Kluyveromyces lactis: one gene and its partner. The protein of the gene in region 1 interacts with the protein of each later gene in a biochemical or structural test. Links are inferred from orthologs where the notes say so. Each region holds a gene or a part of one and is shown on either strand. Other genes may lie near its edges.

The links.
Region 2: the proteins of TIF5 (region 1) and SUI3 form a complex in vitro, tested with the Saccharomyces cerevisiae proteins (6 studies listed by BioGRID, with this or other methods). The link is inferred for Kluyveromyces lactis from reciprocal best matches to the Saccharomyces cerevisiae genes TIF5 and SUI3.

The regions. Positions count from the first base shown.
Region 1 is NC_006041.1:552,021-555,126, reverse strand, and holds TIF5 (translation initiation factor eIF5), read left to right. Parts: upstream 1-1,244; coding exon 1,245-2,441; downstream 2,442-3,106. Other genes in the region: EMC2 (Emc2p), read right to left, coding at 1-714; BIR1 (survivin), read left to right, coding at 3,016-3,106. UniProt on the Saccharomyces cerevisiae protein: Catalyzes the hydrolysis of GTP bound to the 40S ribosomal initiation complex (40S.mRNA.Met-tRNA[F].eIF-2.GTP) with the subsequent joining of a 60S ribosomal subunit resulting in the release of eIF-2 and the guanine nucleotide.
Region 2 is NC_006040.1:750,502-753,389, forward strand, and holds SUI3 (translation initiation factor eIF2 subunit beta), read left to right. Parts: upstream 1-1,441; coding exon 1,442-2,278; downstream 2,279-2,888. Other genes in the region: RTP1 (Rtp1p), read right to left, coding at 1-50; YAR1 (Yar1p), read left to right, coding at 327-947; ADD37 (Add37p), read right to left, coding at 2,695-2,888. UniProt on the Saccharomyces cerevisiae protein: Component of the eIF2 complex that functions in the early steps of protein synthesis by forming a ternary complex with GTP and initiator tRNA.

The sequences.
Region 1 (3,106 bases):
CCAACCTTTCACGTAGGCTTCTGCCAACTCAACAGATCTCAACGCATTTGATAAACTTGATTGCAAAGCAGCTTCAGGGTCAGAATCTGATTGAGACTTCAAGTAATGCAAATAAGCTAATTGACCAAATGCTTCATAACTGAACGGCACCCCAATTATGACTTCTTCCATGCAATATATTGCTTGACGTAGGTCCCCAGCCTCCTGGTATTCTTGCGAAAGTAACGACCATATTTCTGCATCTAGAGGAAACTTCTCAACCAGATCCAGTAGTTCTTTTACCCATTTTTCTTTACTCATCGAAGGTCTCTCTATCGCAAGTAGCCTTTTCTTCATCTGTACGTAGTCTTCTGAATCAGTAGCTATTTCCAGCTGATTCTTGATCAAATCCTCGATATATTTCTTAGCCGCATCATCGGATCGAGTGACCTGTATTAACATAGAGTGCATCACATGAATTCTTGGAGAATCGTCACCTAGACGATCTGTCACAGTTTTGTACAATGTTTCAGCCTCTGTGTCTTCACCACGAACAAGACAAAGATAAAACAATAATTCGACCATTGAGAAATAACTAATTTCGTCAAGCCCATTTAACCCAGCATCTATCAAAAGTTTCGTTTCCTTATAAGCCAAATCAATTTCTTTAGGTGGCAGAATGGCCCATGCGCCAGTCTTATGGATTGCCAGTAATTTGTTCTTAAGTAAATCCATGATATGAACAAAGTTAGATTTCGACCCTAAGATGTATGTGAGATTCGAGCACAATTTCAACACAGTAAATTACTCACTAAATTCCACGAGCAGTAATTGTATTGAAGGTATTCAAACATTTAACACCACCATACGTATCTCACCCATGTTATACCCTGTAATATGTCTCTTACAGAACCGATGCTTAAACAATCACAGAGCCAAATGAATCGTTGGAGCTAAAGCACGTGACACATGCTCCGTTTCGACATGTATTTTCATATCACCATAAACGACGAAAATTTTTCAGGAATCAAGGCCTCAGTATCTGATTGCCACACGCGAAGAGTTGAAGTTGAACTTCTAAGAGATGAGATGAACTTCTTCCATATACATGATTCAAGAAGGCGTTAATGACCCCGTTTTACAGTCCAATACAGGATCAGTTCGAACTTACTTTTAAAAGTTTTTGTGTTTTCCAGACTTGAAGAACGTCAAAGACACGGTGGTAGCAGAAACAAGTGACTAGAGATTAGTAACAGTAGCCGAAGATGTCAATCAATATTTGCAGAGACAACAATGACCCTTTCTACCGTTATAAAATGCCTCCAATTCAGGCTAAGATTGAAGGTAGAGGTAATGGTATCAAAACTGTTGTTATGAATACCATGGATGTTGCCCGTGCTTTAAACAGACCAGCTCCATACATCATCAAATATTTCGGGTTTGAATTGGGTGCCCAAACTGCTATCAATGTTGAAAATGATCGTTACATTGTCAATGGTGCTCATCAACCAGCCAAATTACAGGACGTATTGGATGGTTTCATCACTAAGTTTGTCCTTTGTGGATCCTGTAAGAATCCTGAAACTGAAATTGTTATCACTAAAGATGGTGATTTGGTTAGAGACTGTAAAGCTTGTGGTAAGAGAACCCCTATGGATTTGAGACATAAGTTGTCCTCGTTCGTCTTAAAGAACCCTCCTGACAGTATGAACGGTTCCAAGAAAAAGAAGAAGGCTGCCACTGCGTCTGCTAATGTCAGAGGTGGTGGTCTTTCTATTAGTGATATCGCTCAAGGTAAATCCCAAGCTGAAGCTGGTGACGATGCCGAAGAAAACGATTCCGATGATGATGAATTGGCCAGACAAATTAATGCCGCTGCCTCTAACTTGGCTACCATTGAAGTCAAGGATGAGGACTGGGCCGTTGATATGTCTGAAGAAGCCATCAGAGCTCGTGCGAAAGAATTACAAGGTGAAGCTGACAAAGAAACTGGCGAATTCTCCAAGTTGGAAGAATTTGGTGAATGGGTACTACATGAAGAAGAACTACCTACCGATATTGAATTATACAAAAAGATTGCAGAACTCGAGCTTCTGGAAGATCCAAAGGTTGCTGCAGTTCTGGCCCAAGTTCTTTTCGATGAAGATATCGTATCGGATATCTCTGAACATACTGCGTTCTTGCAAAAATTATTGAAGGACGAAGACTTCGAAAAGAACTTTTTGGGTGGTATTGAAAGATTCCTTGGACTTGATCACCAAGAATTGATCCCATTACTACCAAAGATCTTGGTCCAATTATACAACAACGACATCATTTCCGAAGAAGAGATTATCAGCTTCGGTACCAAATGCTCTAAGAAGTTTGTACCAAAGGATGTTTCTAAGAAGGTTCGTAGAGCTGCCAAGCCATTCATCACTTGGTTGAAAACTGCCGAAGAAGATGATGAGGATTCGGAATAAAGAAAATCATGATCTTATAAGAAAATGGTCAAAGTTCAAATACTATTCAAATTTTAACCAGATTTTTCGGTGTTTCGTTTTCTATTTATCATCCTAACCATCTCCTTGTTTTGCATTAACAGAATAAATATCATTTTCATTTTATCAAGAGCGAACTAAATCTCTTCAATATTTATCCTTTAGCTCTGTAAAATACTGTATGTATACTATCATATATACGCATATGTTTAATACATTCATGACCTTGCGCATACATCATTAGCGGCTCAAGAATGGCACTGATAGGTGCGCCGTGCCGACCTGCCCTTGTCTTCTTATAACCTATTTATTGTCTTTCAATATTCAGCTGTGATGATCCTTTTCTCTCTTTTGTTTACACTTTCGTGGAAAAAGAAGACACAATTTGAGATCAAATCATATTTACATCCTGAATGGACAAGAAGAATACTAGGTCCTGTCAAAAGAGAAGAATAGGGTGCGAATCTTGTTGGAAGAAGAGTAAAAATACACTTTCATCAGACGGTTTCATTACATGAATGATCTGTAGGTTTGATTTCTATGGCGTACTGTAACAATGAATGATTCCAACCTCTCGTCTGCAATGGATCTTTCATTCCTGTCAGAGGAATCGAGTTTGCAGCAAATAGGCTCTTTGAACACGCCTA
Region 2 (2,888 bases), on another chromosome or scaffold:
CTTACGAAATCAAGCTTCCTAGATAATACTTCTGTCAATTTATTTGACATTTTGTGAAACCGATGTCAGGTCTTGAAGGCGCAGCTGACACTCTCCCGATGTAGGCGTGATCATGTTGTTCTAAAGAGAGGTGCTCAGAGATGTCCTGAATTATATTTAAAGCCTTTAGCACATCTATTTCGGAGAAAAAGAAAAAGTAACCTTTTAACATGAAAAATTGAAAAGTTCACAGAATTTGGATTATGAGATGAGATGAGCTAAGATATGAACAGAGAACAGGAAAACTACGCAATCAAGCCCAAAATACAGAACGAAATTATTGTAAGATGAGTCTACATACAGGACCTTTAGATCAAGAAGATCAAGAAGCTATCATCGTTGATGCAAGAGCTGGAGATTTGGAGTCTCTTAAGGATATTTTTACCACTTTGATAGATCCAAGTGCACTCATTGAATGTACAGATGAATTGTCTAAGTCATCTGCCTTGCATATGGCAGCCGCCAACGGTCATTTCGAGGTGGTAAAATATCTACTAAGCATTTTCCCAAAGGATAAACTAAAGGAATGGGTCAACAAGCAAAACGAAACAGGTAACACTGCATTGCACTGGGCTTCGTTGAATGGTAAATTGGATATAGTACAGCTTCTTTGTGAAGAGTATGAGGCTGATCCATTCATCAGGAATAATTTCGACCATGATGCCATCTACGAAGCTGAAAACAACGGACAAGAAGAGATAGAAACATATTACTTGAAGAAGTTCGACGTGGAACCCGAATCGACCGAAAATGAGGAAGAAACTTCATCGGAAAAGGAAGGAGAACAAGCCTCACAGCCCGCATCTATCGACAACGTCCAATTTAGAGAAGGTACAGAGATTGAACAAGTGACCAAAGAAGCTACAGAAGCTCTAAGAGAGCAAACTGAAAAGCTTCAACTAGAATAAGTTTCCTCTGAAAATGAACCGTGGTCAAAAAAAAATCATTCGGCTGGAAAGCTGTATTGTGGCCAATTTGAGCATAAAATATGAACCAAATGTCCATGTACATAACTGTATACTAATCATCAATAAACATAGGTACACCTACCTCATGCGCCCAACAAGCGGAGTTTTATCTAACCAGACTCAAAGGCCAAAGAATAGATAAGTCACGTGTGTTACCCGAACACTGAACGTGCACAATGACAACACTATCGCGTGGCCTGGGAAAATTTTGAAAATAGTGAGTTTTCGGAAAACCAAGAGAATTGAAACGACTGGATCGCAATTGTCATCGCTATTCAATATCCTATTGGATTCTTCAGCTCATATTTGCACAAGGGTAAGACAACTTCTGTGGAAATCTGTTGGCAAGAGTCTAGTTCGTGTAAAGTTCAAGGCCCTTTCCGTTATTACTAAGGAGATTAGCAAGAAGCGAGAAGATACAAAGATACTCAACGATGACTGATGTTGCGGCCGACTTAGGATTCGATCCAACGATGAAGAAGAAGAAGAGCAAGAAGGTAGTTCCGGAAGAACTGATTGCTGCTTCCACCGAGGGAACAGATGATCTTTTTGCTGGTTTGAAGAAGAAGAAGAAGAAGAGCAAGGAAGGTGAAGAAACCACTGAGAAGCAAGTGGACGACATTTCAGATGCTCTAGGCGAATTGAAGTTGAAGAAAAAGAAGAAGAAGGCTGCTGCTGCCGAGAGCAGTGTGGATGACTTTGAGAAGCAATTAGAACAAGCAGGTATTTCAGTCGATGATATTGCCAAGGAGGCCACTCCAACTGAAATCGATTCTAGCATTCAACAAGATGTTGGCCTACCATACCAAGACCTATTGTCTCGTTTCTTTAAGATTTTGAACACAAATAATCCTGAATTGGCCGGTGATAGATCAGGTCCAAAGTTCAAGATCCCTCCACCAATCTGTCAAAGAGATGGTAAGAAGACTATATTTGCGAACATCCAAGAAATTAGTGAAAAATTACAAAGATCCCCAGAACATGTAATCCAGTATCTATTTGCGGAATTGGGTACCTCAGGTTCTGTTGACGGTCAAAAGAGATTGGTCATCAAGGGTAAGTTCTTGCCAAAGCAAATGGAAAATCTATTAAGAAGGTATATTCTGGAATATGTCACCTGTAAGACTTGTAAGAGTATCAATACCGTATTGAAGAAGGAACAATCGAACAGATTGTTCTTCTTGGTTTGTAAGAGTTGCGGTTCTACTAGATCCGTTTCCTCCATCAAGACCGGTTTCCAAGCCACCGTCGGTAAGAGAAAGAGAATGTAGATTAATTGATATGACGTATCAAAATAGTAGTATCATTAACATCTACCGAAAAATCAGAAAAAACTTCGACAATCTTCTAATGTTCAATACGATACAGTTCGAAAGGAATCAAATAAACCTCATAAGGCATAGCTAATATATTCATGGTTGAATATTTTCTCCAGGGAGCATCGCATCGTGCAATTCACACATAACATATGAATAACACCAAATACTTGAAAAGAAATGAGAATAGAAGGTATCTTCATCCTTCTTTCACGTTCATTATTAATTTTTTTTCTGTTTGTGTATGTTATCTAATGGTTTTTATCTAATCTGTAATTTAGTTGTTATAAACAAAACGACGAGATCAATGCTCTAAAAGATCAATTTAAATTTAAGCTCTATAATCTGAAACCCTTCCCCCAGTTAAAATATCATATCTGTGCATTTTCGATCAATTTACGGAAAGAAGGACACCACGAATTCACCGACATATCCGACAGCATCCATTTTGTAATTAAATCTGTAACCCGTTTTGAATCGTTCAAGTTGGCGAATATTTCACTCAACGCATATCTTGTGCCCTCGTTTTCCAATACATTTTCTAGAACCTTATCCACCTTAGTTT